Linked DNA regions of Arabidopsis thaliana. The protein of the gene in region 1 interacts with the protein of each later gene in a pairwise test. Each region holds a gene or a part of one and is shown in the gene's direction. Other genes may lie near its edges.

Evidence for each region. Proteins that work in one complex are often made in the same cells at the same time.
Region 2: the proteins of BAT5 (region 1) and AT3G14860 interact in a protein complementation assay, tested with the Arabidopsis thaliana proteins (one large-scale study listed by BioGRID).

The regions. Positions count from the first base shown.
Region 1 is NC_003075.7:7,206,926-7,215,422, forward strand, and holds BAT5 (bile acid transporter 5), read left to right. Parts: upstream 1-3,881; 5' UTR 3,882-4,055; coding exon 4,056-4,197; intron 4,198-4,287; coding exon 4,288-4,335; intron 4,336-4,430; coding exon 4,431-4,486; exon of another isoform or gene 4,487-4,556; coding exon 4,557-4,687; exon of another isoform or gene 4,688-4,765; coding exon 4,766-5,212; intron 5,213-5,303; coding exon 5,304-5,640; intron 5,641-5,725; coding exon 5,726-5,788; 3' UTR 5,789-6,451; downstream 6,452-8,497. Other genes in the region: WRKY19 (protein kinase family protein), read left to right, coding at 1-675, 821-905, 1,028-1,090, 1,162-1,319, 1,419-1,491, 1,591-1,638, 1,991-2,107, 2,338-2,544; SAP7 (A20/AN1-like zinc finger family protein), read left to right, coding at 8,416-8,497. UniProt on the Arabidopsis thaliana protein: Plastidic transporter involved in the biosynthesis of aliphatic glucosinolates by translocating the biosynthetic intermediates of Met-derived glucosinolates across chloroplast membranes.
Region 2 is NC_003074.8:4,995,282-5,004,043, reverse strand, and holds AT3G14860 (NHL domain-containing protein), read left to right. Parts: upstream 1-2,997; 5' UTR 2,998-3,149; coding exon 3,150-3,276; intron 3,277-3,391; coding exon 3,392-3,463; intron 3,464-3,565; coding exon 3,566-3,733; intron 3,734-4,008; coding exon 4,009-4,179; intron 4,180-4,307; coding exon 4,308-4,520; intron 4,521-4,634; coding exon 4,635-4,723; intron 4,724-4,811; coding exon 4,812-5,453; 3' UTR 5,454-5,740; downstream 5,741-8,762. Other genes in the region: TBL41 (TRICHOME BIREFRINGENCE-LIKE 41), read right to left, coding at 6,433-6,733, 6,812-6,970, 7,064-7,239, 7,327-7,498, 8,167-8,429.

The DNA.
Region 1 (8,497 bases):
CTTAAGGTTTTTGGATTTAAGCAGGACAGACATTAAAGAGCTGCCCTCTTCCATATCGTATCTGACTGCTCTTGACGAACTATTATTCGTAGACTCCAGGAGAAACTCGCCAGTTGTAACCAATCCCAATGCCAATTCAACTGAGTTGATGCCTTCTGAGTCAAGTAAGCTTGAGATCTTAGGTACTCCGGCAGATAACGAAGTAGTTGTTGGTGGTACGGTAGAGAAAACCCGTGGTATTGAACGAACGCCGACTATTTTGGTGAAGTCGAGAGAGTATCTAATTCCCGATGATGTTGTGGCGGTTGGTGGTGATATTAAGGGGCTAAGACCACCAGTACTTCAGCTCCAACCAGCAATGAAACTATCTCATATTCCTCGAGGATCAACTTGGGATTTCGTTACGCATTTCGCTCCACCTGAAACAGTTGCGCCGCCGAGTTCCTCTTCAGAAGCCAGGGAAGAGGAAGTGGAAACGGAAGAGACGGGAGCTATGTTTATCCCATTGGGGGATAAGGAGACATGCTCATTCACTGTAAACAAGGGTGACTCCTCAAGGACAATATCTAATACGTCGCCGATTTATGCCTCCGAAGGATCTTTCATCACGTGTTGGCAGAAGGGTCAACTTCTGGGACGAGGATCATTAGGGTCCGTATATGAAGGCATTTCAGCGTAAGTCTTACTGGTTGATAATGTTTGTTGAACTTAAAATCAGATTTCTTAGTTGCAAAGCGATACTAAGAAAGCGAGTTTTCCTTTACGCCTTTGGCTCATGCCAACCAAAATGCTTTATGGTGGATGTTTATGTTAAATGTAGAGACGGGGACTTCTTTGCTTTCAAGGAAGTTTCACTACTTGATCAGGGAAGTCAGGCACATGAATGGATACAACAAGTCGAGGGGGTGAGATATACCTGGTCTATTACTGGCATCAAATTTTAATTCTTGTAACATTGTGTCCTTGATCTGTTGGAAGTAGTTTGCTAATCCTCATTACTCTTGCCACATTTTTTGATTTTCTACAGGGGATTGCGCTACTTAGTCAGCTTCAGCATCAGAATATCGTGCGATATCGTGGCACAACTAAGGTATGATTTCTGGGTTCCTGTTCTCAGTTGCAGCTGACTCATAAAACATAATGCATTTTTGCTGTTTGCAGGACGAGTCGAATTTGTACATTTTTCTTGAACTTGTAACCCAAGGGTCCCTTCGAAAACTCTACCAAAGAAACCAGCTTGGGGACTCTGTAGTCTCCTTATACACAAGACAGATTCTTGATGGATTGAAATATCTCCACGATAAAGGTTTTATACACAGGTTTGACTAGAAAAATCTCTTTTTTTATAGCAGTTCATGTATTTCCCAAGCTTCTGATTTCCTGGGTCGTTTACTTTTTTTTCATCTGATGTGAAAAAGGAACATTAAATGTGCAAATGTATTGGTGGACGCTAATGGAACAGTTAAACTTGCAGATTTTGGATTGGCTAAGGTTCTTTTCCATTAATAATAGATGTTTATAGTATTTTCAAGTACTAACCTGGTACATCGCTTATTCCCCTTACTTGATACCTGTGGCATTTTGTTATAGGTAATGTCCCTCTGGCGAACTCCGTATTGGAATTGGATGGCTCCAGAGGTTATTGTTTTAAAATCCTTCCCGCTGTTTTAATTTGTCAATACAATGATAGACAAACATATCATACATCAAAAGAAATGTTGTATCTTAAACTGTTACTTAAATATGTTCCCGCATATATTGTGATCCAGGCTTGATAAGCTCGAAAATCCCCGGTTATGTTTCCTTCAGGTCTTTGATTAATCTGAAACTAGTTTGAAATTATTTCTATTTTAGTTTATAGTTCTTATTATAACTGTGAGTATGTAATTAGTGATCATAGGTAACAGACGCGGATGTATATCATTTTGATTGTACTTTAGGCTATACTTGTACAACTGTGTTTCTAAACTGAACATAATAATTTGATCAGGTTATTCTTAACCCGAAGGATTATGATGGTTATGGAACTCCAGCTGATATATGGAGCCTTGGGTGTACTGTGCTAGAAATGTTGACTGGTCAGATTCCCTACTCCGATCTGGAAATCGTAAGTCTTCAAGATTCTCAAACTTTCTTTATATGAAAGTAAGCAAATTCCCACAATTATCACCAACTATTTAGCTGTAAAAGTAAATGAACAAAGCATTTGGCACAGTTTAAATTTGTACTTCTCAACAAGTGATTTTGTTTTGCACCTTCAATTGTTTTGAACTTTTATTTTATTTTTATGGGATTTTGAAGTAATAATTAAAGGTCATAATTTGTGTAAACGTGCAGGGTACAGCCTTGTATAACATTGGAACGGGTAAGCTTCCGAAAATACCTGATATTCTATCGCTAGACGCCCGGGATTTCATACTTACGTGTCTCAAAGTGAACCCGGAAGAGCGGCCAACTGCAGCTGAGCTGCTTAACCATCCATTTGTGAATATGCCATTACCATCCTCGGGCTCAGGTTCAGTATCTTCGCTCCTCCGTGGATGAGGCTAATTTTAGAAGATTGCCTTCGATAGGTGAAACTTTGGGCTTTGTTGTCATGAGAATATATTAGAATCAAAAGTTGTATATATATTCTAACATATGCCCTAATATGCTTTGCACTAAAATCGTTTGAATCTTCTGTTCCATACTTCACGTTGACAAATCACAATTTTTTTTATGTCTTTTGTTTCTTTTTTTTTGCTGAAGCCAACAAAGTTGTCCATCTCTTTCTTGCTCATTCCAATACACATCAAATATAGTGAACATAATATTTCTTCCAAACTTAATCTGAAAAGTCTAGACTAATTAAGATTAAGATTCATAAATATAACTTAATTTGCACCTATTTGGATATGAGGGAGGTATCTGTTAATGTCTCAAGTCAGTTATAATTTTGGGTCGCTAACGCATCGACAATGAAAAGAACAGGACCAAACATCGATAATGGAAAAGTCATAGATAGAGCTTTTTTGGGGCGGCTGGATCCATACAACATAATGCATCTCAGTGTTGGTTAAAGTTTCAACACAATAACCTTCAGAGTCCCGTACAAAAACTCATTAAAACTGATTGTATATAATGAGTATTTGGACGGACGATTAGGGTTTTATATGGTTTCAATATTTATAAAACCGAAAAACCATAAAACCGTAACCAAACTGAATTACATATGTTTCTATATGGTTATAGTTTTAGTAAAACCAAAAAACCGTAAAACCAAAAATCCGAACTGAAACCAAACCGAAAAACCGTATGCCCACCACTAAGAAGTAAAGAAGAGCAAAAGATTCATAGCTTCTATAGTTGCAGTAGTAATGACAATTAATATATTGTCTTGATAGGATTAAATTCATTTTGTTATTTAACTTAATTTTTCATGTTAAGATCTTATTCCAAGTTTATAGTTTAGACAAAATTTCACTTAATTAACGTATCCTTACAAAAAGTTATACTCATATGGAAAAATGAAAAGGAATTTGAATTGAATCAAACTGAAACTTCATCGAACTAAATTATTATGTTTCATTGTAAACCGTAAAGAGGAAAAGATGTTAACAAAGAAAACAAAACAAAAACAAAAAGAAGAAGTAAAAGATAAAGCCATACCTAAAAATTCCTTTTTTTTTTAAGATAAGAATTTTTATATAGATGCCAATTAAACCCCAAACTGTTTCTTAAACTGTTTCTCCCTTTCTCTAAATTATATCAAATAGTTTCTTCATTTGTTTGCTCAAAATGATAATTGTCCAATCGAAACCCGAACTTTTGAGAATTTTTTATTTTTATTTTTTCCTTTCAAATAGTGCATTTGAGACGATAGGTTGGTGACTTGGTGTGTCATTTACACGTGCGTATCGTGGAAATGTATCAACAATTTACACGCCTCATGAAACGTCCCTTGGTTAGGTTGGTATAGTACTTTGAGCTAAACAAAAATATAAATCGAACAAAAAACGCTGCGTTTTTGTTTCCACATCTCTTTCTCTTTCTCTCTTAAGCCTCAAGAAAGAAAAATGGGTGTGATATCTCCGACTGAAACTCTGTTCTTAAAGTCTCAACATCGTCTTCTTCAACCTCGAAACTATTCATACGCACTTGCTTTTCACAGCACTCGACGAGTTGCGAATTTCCCACGCAACTCATTCTCTTCTCTAGGTTTCACTTTCTTTCTCCTCTGTTTTTATGAAATGTTATCATTTCTTTAGTCTTCAATTCTTGTTTTTGATGGGTTTAGTTCTCTTGTAGGATCATGTTCTGTAGATTTTCCACTACGAAGTAACCCGATTTCACAAAGTAAGTAAAAATCTCGGCTAGTAACTCTGTTTTTAGGAGTGAAGAAGTTCAATTTTTGAATGTTTCTGATTTTTGGTGTGTTATACAATCCAAAGATAGCAAGTCAATTCATCCTTGGCGGAGATATGTATCCGAATCTGACTCAAACGAGGTAAACCACAATCAACAAAATTGCGGCTTTTATCGCTTTCTTGGCAAGTAACAGTTCTGTTTTGTTTCAGCTGTATCATAAGAAGGTTTCTTCTATTATGGAAACATTAAAGCAAGCCTACTCTTTTATTCCTCATGGAATTCTGTTAAGTACAATATTAGCTCTTGTCTATCCACCTTCTTTCACATGGTTCAAGCCAAGGTTTGGATCAACCTACTTACTAATTTGATCAAAATCTTAATTAGACATCTCTCTTTATTACTATTTCTCCTTATTTAGGTACTTTGTACCTGGCTTAGGGTTCATGATGTTTGCTGTTGGTATCAACTCTAATGAAAGAGATTTTCTTGAAGCACTTAAAAGACCAGATGCTATTTTTGCCGGTTACATCGGACAATACTTGATTAAACCTCTCTTAGGTTACATTTTCGGCGTAATTGCTGTCTCTCTTTTCAATCTACCTACTTCTATAGGTGCTGGAATCATGTTGGTCTCATGTGTTAGTGGAGCTCAGCTATCAAATTACACAACTTTCTTGACCGATCCTTCACTCGCGGCGCTTAGCATCGTCATGACATCTATCTCAACGGCCACTGCGGTCCTCGTTACACCTATGCTTTCACTCTTACTCATTGGTAAAAAGCTTCCCGTTGATGTGTTTGGGATGATCTCTAGCATTCTTCAAGTGGTGATTACACCTATTGCCGCAGGACTACTTCTGAACCGGTGGGACATCATCTCAATCGATTAGAATTATTGTAATGTTATATGTTAGAAAGAACAAAAAACTAACGTTACGTTACAAATGTGAGTGCAGGTTGTTTCCAAGGTTGTCTAATGCAATCAAACCATTTCTTCCGGCGTTAACAGTTATCGATATGAGTTGTTGCATAGGAGCACCCCTTGCTTTGAATATAGATTCAATCTTGTCTCCGTTTGGTGCAACCATTTTGTTCCTCGTCATCACGTTTCATCTCTTGGCTTTTGTTGCTGGTTACTTTTTCACTGGTTTCTTCTTCAGCAAGGCACCTGATGTAAAAGCTCTGCAAAGAACAATTTCCTATGAAACAGGAATGCAAAGTAGTCTTCTCGCTCTGGCCCTCGCTACAAAGTTCTTTCAAGATCCTCTCGTTGGAGTGCCTCCAGCAATCTCCGTGAGTTTTCAATATAGTTTTGTTACATCTATTTTCTTCTATTAACCATGTTTTTGTTTAACCGGAATTTTTTTATATTTTGCAGACGGTTGTTATGTCTCTAATGGGCGTCTCGCTTGTTACCATATGGAAAAACAGAAAGGAGTAGTGACATGAAACCTAATCAGGGATTTTGCGGAATTTGCTGTTGTTTATGGTCGGCTGTTCCAATTGTTTTCGTAATGATCTGGTTATGTTTTCATATAAAAGAACCAAGAATTTACCCATAAAAAGTTTAAAATGTTTCCATTTTTGGTTCTTGATTGGTTCTGAGACAAACCAAAACAGAGTCAATCAACCAGAGTCCAGAGAACAATACAAGTTTTCACAATTTACTATTCATGTCCATGTGTAAGACTTGTGATATAAAGTTTGAGACTTTTATGGAAACCGATGTATCAAGAAAAAAATTGTGTCTCCGGACGAGTCTAGCATTATTCTATATTCTGAGCATCTTCCTTCTGGCAGTAATATTCAAATTTGAGCTCTTTAGGTTATCTCATGGTCCTTTGCTTAATCATGAAAAGATAAATCCTTTGGCTATGTTTTGATGTTACTCATAGACTTTTAGTTAACTCTGACTTCATCACTGGTTCTATTTCTTAGTAAGTAATAGCTATAAACTATAAGAATAACCTTTTCCTTTTTTGGCTCTATTTACTGACTTTACCTTTGGTCAGAAAGGCAGGAGTACTGGCTTCACGGATAAGAAACAACAAGAAGTTTGGTTTTTCAAAGTCAAAAACAGCAGGGTTTCTTGACCTTTAAGAATTAGGTAGGATTCTTTAGGGGGATGTGTAAGCCAGTCATATATTGCAGGTCTCATAATTGATGATTCTTCCATTTGAAACTTAAACATAGATAAATGAAAAAAGTTTCTCTAATCACAATGGTTATGAATCATGGTGGAAGATGATCTAAGCATTATCTATAAAATTTATTATTTGTAGATTTGTAGATCTAAGCTTAAAAGAGGAATGTCATGTTTGATTACATCAATTATTTGTAGATTGTAAATATTTTAGTCCTTGTCGCAATTGTTTTGGCAGCGTATCTTTTCATACTATTGATTTTCAATACAAAAAAAAAGGTAAATAAAATTCATTTTCTTAAAAAAACAAGGTTTGTGTTTAAGACCAAAAGTAAGATACAACCCGTAAGCTTAAAGCCATATTTGCAAAAATAATTTCACTTTAATTATAGCTTAAACAAACTAAATCATATAAAATAAAATTTGTTAAAATTCCGACTTTTTCTTATATCAATCAGCTAAAAATGTTCAACCATATGCTTTATGATTTATCTAATCAAATTGACTAGACTTGGCAAAATACCCGAAACAAGGAATCAAGCCAAATCCAATATGAATCCGAATTCGAAATTTTAAAATACCCGAACAGATTCTAAACATCAAAATCCAAAATCCGGAAATCAGAACCCGATTCAAACCTGAACCCGATTAAGTACCCGAATATATCCAAAATATATATACATAAAAATAATTTAATAGTAATAATCATATTTACAACAATTTAAGTGTCTAAAATATTTAGATTTTAAGATATTTTGTATATTTTTAGGTATTTTACTTACTTTTAGATTGATTCGGATAGAAAATACTTAAGTTTTTCTAAAAGTTTTTGTATAATTTAAAATAATTTGAATATATTTTTGTACAAAATTTGAAATTTTTGATATTTCGAATAAATCTGAATCCAAACTAGAAAAATCTAATCCGAAACCGACGTAAATACCGGAACGTATATATTTTTAATCGACTGTCGAAGAAAAGTAAGAAACAGTGGACTGTGTAGAGAAATGGTAACAATAATAGAATGACTCTTTTAACTTCTAAGATTCTTATTTATTACGAAGATGTCATTACCCCTAGATAAGCCGTTCGATGAAATTAAAAGCAGTAATGTCACATAAACGTCGGTCGTAACACATCCAACGGCTAAAACCAATTAAAAAGCACGCCAACACTGACGACGTTAAGAAAAAAACAAAGACAAGACCGACAATAAAAAAAAAAAAAGAGGAAACCGTGTCTCGTGGTTCGTAAACCAAACCATATAACAAAAGCCTCATTTCTCTCATCAACCATTGTTGCGTGTTTGGTTATCTCTTCTTTCTTCTCTCTCACCTAAATCAAGGGATTTGTTCTGATCAACTTTGAACAGAATTTACAACAAATCCCTAGAAAAATCTGACCCTTCCTTCTTCCTCAGGAAGATTTAAGATACTTGTTGATAAGGATATTCGGAAGAAGCTTTTGAAATTTTTGGCAAAGGTCTCATTTGATCCGACTTTTCTGGTAATTTTTTTCCCTTTATTGTTTGTTTTTCCAACAGATCTGAACATTTTTGTTACGATTAATCAAATTTCTGTGTTCTTAAATTGGATTTGGGGAAATTTTGAGTAGCGAGATAGATCTTATCAAAGCTGGGTTAAATCGAATTTTTGTTTATAGAAAAGCTGGGTTTAGATCGAAATGAATCATTTTTGATTATATAGAAGCTGTGTTTTATTGGAATTTGATCAATTTTGATTGTATCGAAGCTGCGTTAAATCGAAATGATTGATTATATTGAAGCTGGGTTTGATCGAATTGAATCGGTTATTTGATTATCATGTTATGAATTGAAGACAACCTTAAAAAATGAGTCTTCTGGTGTCAGATGATAAATTGTTTTTGTTGTTTGTTTAGTTGAAGGTGAAATAGATACAAAAAAAATGGGCTCAGAGGAAAACAACAGCACAAGCTTTCCACCAACAGAGCCAAAGCTCTGTGATAACGGATGTGGATTCTTCGGGT
Region 2 (8,762 bases), on another chromosome or scaffold:
CCATTAATAGAGCTTCACTTTGTAGACTTCTTTGGTTAAAACAACAAAAAAAGATGAAGAGCAGACAAGAAGCTTGAAGAGATTGTTTCACAAATGGTTCGCACTACACTTTTGGTCACAAAGGAAAGGAGGGAGATGTTTGCAATAAATATATATACACACAGAGAGAAAGAGAGACATACATGCTTAGATTATCTAGTGGATACAGCTTAAAGATTCAGCCAGAGTTGTGGGGACAATGTGGTTCATATATAAATGAAAAAAATGTTTTAATTTACAAGGAATAAACAATCAAGAAATGTCCAAGGAAGAAGAATAAACAACTTGCGTGTGTAGTACCATTTCTTTTCATGAACCGATCAACTTTTTTGCTTTCTTATTAATGTTCTGAAATCTTTTGCTATATATGTGTGTGGGGCTATTTAGTCAAATTGTGCTGCTATAGAATCAAACAAAAGTGAGAAAACAACATATAATAAAAATAACACCCAAATGGGTTTATCTGCAGAACACATGACACATGCAAATAATTCAACACCCCTCGTTCTTATTTTCTATTCAACTTTTTTCTGAAAAGGAACAGTCAAGAAAAAAGTGCGAAAGTGAATACAAAAAGAACTAATGAGTTTAAATACATATATATACTCAAAGTTGTTCATAAGTTTACAATTATGGGACACTGATAAAAGGATTAGAGTATTCAGGATTCATAATTGCTACAAACCAAATCAGTTAAACTAGAATCCAAGAACATAAAAGTGCCCCCACACACAAATACACACATGTCTCTATGTATATGATTCTCTTAAATGGTCATTTGATTCCACTCATTTGAAAAAAAAGTAAGACAGCCTCAAAGCCAAATATAGCTACCTAACATTTAGTACAGTCACAAGCTACTCACAAAACAACCATATTTCTCTATTTCACTAGAGCTTAGACCATAAAGCACACGGATTAAAGGAAAACTAATGAGAAGAGTTATGTTAAAGAGTGATAATAAACTCAGCAACATAACCAGTATTACTCCAGAAGGTCTAAATTAATATGGTTCTCAGGGTTTAATACAACTTTAGAAGCAAAGTTCATTTAAAAAGATTGTATTGAATTTACCTTCCAACAGTTCCAAGGTCTCTATCTTATCTATGTTTTGTTTGTTGTTCTCACTTCATCGTAGAGTGAATTTGAAGAAGCAAACTGGCGAAATGACAAACCAACCTCTGCTTAAACCCTGCAGATCAAATCAATCATATGAAATTATAAATCACTACCTACCAAAGGAAAAAGGATAAACACAGAACCAATATGAGACTAATATTCAAGCTGATGTGAATGCTTGACCATGGCATTATTGGTATGAATGATGGGATTGTAAGAGCATTCACAAGTCACAATGATATATTCATTTGATTGAAAATGAGAATATAAGAAACTGCAGAATAACAATGAAGACGAAATCATTCAGAAGAACAAAAGATGATAATTAATAAATATTGATTAGCTAACCAACCTGATCGATGTAAAAACACTCTCCCGGGCAAACCTCTCGGCGTTTTGCCTCTAAATTGATTCTTAACGACAATAAAATGGGTAACATACAAAAGATACAGATTCCTTCACGGTTTCAAGACAAGTCCGGAGCTCGAGAATGAGAAGAGGGGAAAAAGGCTTTAGAGTGACTGAGAGAGAGAGTCGTAGGAGAGGAGAAGAGAGTAATAAATGACAGAGAAGGGTGAGCCTAGGGAAGTTCAAAGGACATAGATTTACGTAAATACCCTCATGGTAAAGGGACATTTACACCGACATTGCTACTTTACTCCAAGAAACGTCGAAAAGGAAGTAGGGGTGTTCTCGGTATGTCAGGGAATAAGATGTTCAGACAGAACGCAAAATCACACGGTTTGGGTTGGGAATGAAACTACTTGGAAGCTGTTATTGCGTACGTACGCGAAGACCGGTCCGTCCGGTATGAGTGAGATAGATGAAAGACACGTGGCAAATTAAAAAAAAAGTGTAACCATTTCCCACATTCTCCTGAAAACGCTTTCTATTTGTTAACCCTTCTTTAGTTCCGTATTTAACTGCCTTGATGTTTATTTAATCAAACGAGAATTATGTAAGTTCATTCTCTATAAGTTCTTTTGTTTTTAAATAAGACTCTTAAATGTTGAACAAAAATAAAATAAGACTCTTAAATTATTTGTCAAGTTGCATAAAAGACAGCTGAATAGCAGTATTAGCTTTCACTAAATACGTGAAGCAACTCAATAAGTACAGTTGTCCTATCGATGAAAGCAAAATCAAGATTGAAAATTGCTAAGTCCAAAGTTTGAATCATCTTATAAGCAATAAGTAAACCAAATTAGTCTTGGTGGGCTTTAAATGCAAACTTTATAAATATAGAAATCGTGAGAATACATCATTCCAGTTATATTTGTACGAGTTATGAATACAATGCACTGATGCAGTGATGGAGTGGCATATGCATGTAATTTTATCAGTTAGTACAAAGTGAGTTAATTGTCCGTGTTTAACGGAAAGTAAAAAGCTTGAGAGACAATTCGATTTCAATTTCAAACCAAGAATTGAGAGCTATGAGCCTATGAGAGTATGGATTTGATAAAAAGGATTTTCTCTATTCACGACTATTCTTGATTTTTTTATTATGTATTAACGACTATTCACATACTATAAAGTTGCATATAATTTATTTACCTTATTTTGAAACAGACAAGAAAAAGGTATTGATGCGATTGGACATGTCGTAGAAGTGCTTCTGATCTGATCGGCTTTTTTTTTTTTGTTTCTTTACTTTAGTTTTGTCTTTTAGTATTCAAGACTTCTAGTGGCCCAGTGGCAGTGAGTATAAAGGATTTAGCACTCACTAAATGGGCGTATTGAAAGGTAAGAACCTTAATGGGCCTATTATAAGGCCCATAAAAAACACGAGTAACCCAATAAGGTAACTTTATGTTCGTTACACAATTTCTTTTCTTACTTTCAAAAAAGAAAAGAAAAAAATCTGTTGTCATCTGCAAATTGGTTTCATTCTATCAGTTGGTGTTGTGGTGTGTTGGAAGATGTGAATCGCCTCTACTAGGGTTCGATTCCAACATAAAATTGTACTTTTGGAAGATACAGAGAAAGAGATGGGCAAATCTCAGATTCTTCTAAACGCTGAGAGCTTTACTTGTTCTTCTTTCAATACTTTCTTCACTTTATGGATCTTCTTTACTCTTCACTCCTTTCCATTTCAAGCTCAAGCTGCTCCTTCTGGTAACTTTACCATACTTAACTTCGTTGCTTTGATCTATCTGCTTCACTCACTTTCTTAGTGAATTCACTCTTCAATTTCTGGTTTTTTATGTCAATTGTTGTAAATTGAATTTAGGTTCCTTGATTAAGCACATGTCATCGGTTCTCAAGTGGACTACTGGATCATCCTCTAAATTATCCCAATCAGGTAAATTCTCAATTAGTACGACTGAATTTGGTCGCCTTGATTGTTTGTTGTTCATAAACTTGGTTTTGATGTTTCTTTCTCTAACTGCTACTTGTGGTGCAGACACTAATGTTCTTCAGTTTGAGAATGGTTACTTGGTCGAAACTGTTGTGGAAGGAAACGATATTGGTGTTGTTCCTTACAAGATTCGAGTTTCTGATGATGGAGAACTTTATGCTGTTGATGAACTTAATAGCAACATCATGAAAATCACTCCTCCCTTGTCTCAGTGTAAAACTTCGTTCTCCACAAGTTCTCTTCTTTATGACTTAGTTTTTGCAGTTTTAAGTACATCCAATCATATACACATGCCATCGCAGATTATACTTGATACACTAACGATACTACTGTGATCTTTTGATGATCTTGGCTTGTAGCATTACATTTTCTATTTTACTTCAATATTCTGGTTCTTTATACTATATATGAAACATTTGATTTTCTCTTTCTTTTTTAGTGTTGGAGGTTTTTATGACTTTGTTTATAATCTATGTACTTGTGGGCAGACAGCAGGGGAAGATTGGTGGCTGGATCTTTTCAAGGAAAAACAGGGCATGCAGATGGAAAACCGAGTGAGGCTCGTTTTAACCATCCGAGAGGCGTTACAATGGATGACAAAGGGAACGTTTATGTCGCTGATACTTTGAATCTCGCCATCCGAAAGATTGGTGATTCAGGTATACAAGTTTTCTATAGGTTTTACTTACATCAGCACTCAAAAACTGAAATGGTTGCTTGTTGTTGAAAAATATAATTAAACTGAGAAGAATTGTGTTCTTAAGAGTCTGAAACATTTTTGTTACAGGTGTTACTACGATAGCTGGGGGAAAATCAAATATAGCTGGGTATAGAGATGGGCCAAGTGAGGATGCAAAGTTCTCAAATGATTTTGATGTCGTATATGTTCGGCCTACCTGCTCGTTGCTGGTCATCGATAGAGGAAATGCGGCTCTTCGCCAAATCTCTCTCAGTGAAGAGGACTGTGACTATCAAGATGATAGCTCAATCTCTCTAACTGGTAAGAAGTCAAAAACACCTCTTCCCACTACATAGATCATTTTGCATACACTCTGTTTAGGGGTGGATTTGAGAGTGTTAACAGAAGATCATTGCGTGCTTACATTCGGTGCAGATATACTCTTGGTTATTGGTGCTGTTCTCATTGGTTATGCTACTTGTATGCTCCAGCAGGGCTTTGGAAATTCTTTCTTCTCAAAGACGGTAAATTTCTATCTCTTCTCTTTCGTGCCTTTTCGCTTCTCATCAACCATATGCTACAAACAACAACAATTTCTGTTTTATCTTACAGCAGGTAGGATCAGAAACCAGCTATGAAGAAGAGCATCCAGGAAAAGAGAAACTCTCCCGGCCTGTCCATGAGAAAACAATAACCAAGGAAGAACCTGGTTGGCCATCATTTGGGCAACTCCTTACTGATCTCTGCAAACTTGCTCTCGAGTTTATAACCAGCCACCTAGTTCCAGCCCGATTCCAAACCAACCCCAATCTAAGGCCATTAAAAGATAGACTCATAATGCCTGAAGACGAACAAGAACCACCTCGAGTCCAAAGGCATACTGCCCCAGCACCAATCTCAGAATCCCGACATGCTCACTTACCTAAAGCTGATGATAGTTACCCTGAACATAAGACGCCAAAGCTAAGATCAAGTAGTGTAATGAAGGACCCTACTTTGTCATCATCCAAGCACCATCGGACATCATCAAAACGGCAGGACTATGCTCAGTTCTATGCCTCGGGAGAGGTTGCCCAACCGAAGATCCATAAAGAGCGGTCAAGGCGTCGTCATAGAGATAAAACAACCGAGACAGAACCAAAGCCAACACCATCAGATACGGTGAAGCCTGTGGAGTACAGTAATAGTTCAAAGTTTGATCATTACAACATGAGGAGCAGCAAGTATGGACCTGAAACTCCATTTCGATTCTAGAAAGTAAAATCACATACTCATTAGAACCCTTTTCTGAGTATGTTGTGCCCTTTCTTTTGTCCTTGGTTTGAGGAGATTCCTTATGTTTTCTTTTTGTTAGTTACTAAGAAAATCTTATTACACAGATGATGAAAAAGAGGTTAAAGGCTTTTCTTGTAACGAAGGATTGATGAATCATGACTGAAAATCTGATGTATTATGAACTTATACGATCACAAGAACAGGCTCTTCGTTACTAACTTGCTATTAACACATTCTTGCTTGCTATATATAGATCTTTGGCTGCTAGAGATAGGTTCCTTGCTAACCATGGTCCTAAGAAAGTATATATAATTGTAAAGAATCTTAGTCAAAAAAAAAAAAAGGAAAAAAAAATGAAGGGCCCTACCGGGTTCGAACCGGTGACCTCTTGATCTGCAGTCAAATGCTCTACCACTGAGCTAAGGACCCTTTTGTTCAACTCATGATACATTCATTACAAAAATATTAGGTGCTCATGATAGAACAGAGTAAAATCTATGTGTTTGGCATGGAGATAAAGAGAGTACGAATACGAATATGATTTTTTAAGATCGAATTTGATAATAACTTGACTTCATTCATACGAATATGATTTTTTAAGATCGAATTTGATAATAACTTGACTTCATTCAGTTCCATTTTTATAGAATTATTGTAGAGATTTGGTTGAAACTTTAATAATTGGAATGTGCTTTGTTGACAAACTATCGATCAGTTGAAAAACGACCTTACTAAATGAATTAGCTATAGAAGTTTTGATCTATACAGTTTCATATTGTGTTCACTTACACTACACGGAGGTAGGGTTTAGATTAATTATTTTTCTTGATCATTCGATTTCTTTAATTCTAATAACCTATGTATGATTACAAAATTCAGAAACGGACCTTTTATTCAGATTTAAATGATCAATCACAATAACAAATGCTATAATTGATGTTTCCGTATTTTATTTCTTTTACTCAACCATATAATTGTAAAGAATCTCATTCCAAGTATCCGGTACCCCAGAGAGACACCAGTGGCTGCAGTCACCGGAGGAGTTTCGCCCGCCTAGACCGTAAACCGAAGGATGAGCATCTTTGCGAAGCAACGAAAGCATCGTAATGTCTAGCAATGTCACCGGTTTCGATATTTTCCCGAGTGCTCTCTTCAAAACTCCCACTTCTGCTGGCAATCCTCCTGGATATTTTGTCCCCAAAAGTGGTTCCTTCTGTCCCACGCAACTCTTTGCCGCTGGTTCGCCCCACAGAACTCCTCTGGTAAACAACAAAGCCAACTTTTTAAATACAAGTTTCTTTAGTTGATCATCTTTTTAATCAACAAAATCAACTTACTTGTAATGAGATGGAGAAATTCCTTGAAAAAAGACTCTAGTTTTCTTAGTATTTAAGACGGTATCGACCCATTTCCCCCAAGTCCCAAGCGCAATTTCAAACGCGGCCACACGGTCCATGTCTTTTGTAACGTTAGTCCCTATTTGAATCAAATCCCATCTGCCAAAATTAACAAAACAAATCCAAACTTTGAACATTGCATGTAATTAAGCCAAAAACAAAGCATATTAATTCAGAGTTACTTGAACGTACGGTTGTGCAGGACCTCTCCGACTCCACCAATGCCAAGTATTAAAAATCAATGTATCCATCTCTACCCAATTTTTTCCATCATTGATCGAATCAAGCTTCAAAACTCTCCCAATCTTCTCCCTAACTATATCTACTAGATAAACATTCCTATCAAGCTTCAATTCCAGTCCATACTCCTGCAATTTTCACCACTCCGGTTTAGTTCATCCCGGTTTTCTATTCAACTTGACCAAAACAAGTGTAGATTTGGTAATAACAACTACCTTGAATGTGTAGGTTGATATACTACCTTGTGTGGTTAAAGTATACGTAGAATTTGGAACAGAGGAATGAAGCATACATGCCAACGATTGCCATTGATTTAGACTAAGAGAATCACCAACAAACATAATCTTCTTCCCTTTGTTTTTCTTCAAAAACTGCAATCCATTGAACCTAGAACAAACAATATAAACGGTGGCGTTTTATGTCGGTGGCATGCATTGAAATTAACTTAAGAAACAGGAGGACAGAACCGTCGAAAGATTTGAGTTACTGTCCCCACAAGTGTGGGGGAATTTATGTCTTCTTATGAGGAAGAGTTTGGTGGCTGTCCTAATCTCAATGGCGGCGCGTGTAACTCACGCCGGATCCACCACTTGGCATATATTGTGACAAAAAAAGTTCGTTTTCATCTCGTGCAATTTTGGAGATTCTAAACACCATTCAATTATAGCAAACAACTATATAAATAGCATTCTCTTTTCTCATTGGTTGCTCACTCAAAAGTGCTTTATTTTACAAACACAAAAACAATATCTCTAAACATTTTCAACTTTCTTGAAAAGTAATTATATGAACCAAATCAAGATTTCTTCACACTGCTGAATTATTATTGCGTTTATCTTTCAAATCAAAAAATTGTGGTCCTCCTATAACGCTAATGTAATGTCATATTTCAACAAATAAAAACCGACGAATATATTAAAACAAAATCATGAATCAAAAGTAAAAAAATAAAAATAGTCATATCTATAACGATACCTTGGTTCAATAGCTAGACACCCAAAAAAAAAAGTTTGAAAAGATAAAAATGTATGTAATAAATAAAGAATGGATGATACCTTGCTAATTTGCAGGAAAGAGGCTGCCATCTGAAGGTAGAGTAATCGAGATCTGGCCGTCCATTTCTCTGGCAAGAGAACTCATGTCTTATGAACGGACACGTGGAGGAATTGTAGAGAGGGTAAGAATCGTCCTTCACCCACCGCCCCGTGAACATGTCACATCCTTCTGCTGCTTCGTGAAGCAGGGGAAGAAGAAGAAGAAGAAGAAGCGATAAAACTAATGCAGAGTCATTAGAAATGGCGTTATCCTTTGAACCCATTTCAACACAGACAAGAGAGAGAGAGATATTCAAATACGCAGCTGGTTTTTATACACCCACGCATCTATATATAAAATATATATATAAGTCACATTTGTCATAATAAAGAGAAGGAAGATAAGTTTTTATCAGTCAAATATGTGAAGTTGTGAACTATAGATTTTTGGCAATAAATCTTGAAAACAAATCTCAACATTTCTTTGACCAACAAAAAAAAATCTCAACATTTCTGTGTGCATTTAGAGAGTGTATTCAATCTAATATTTTCAATGATTTGTGTAAAATTTATAAATCATATGCTATTCAATCATAAATTTTAAAAACTCTAATAAA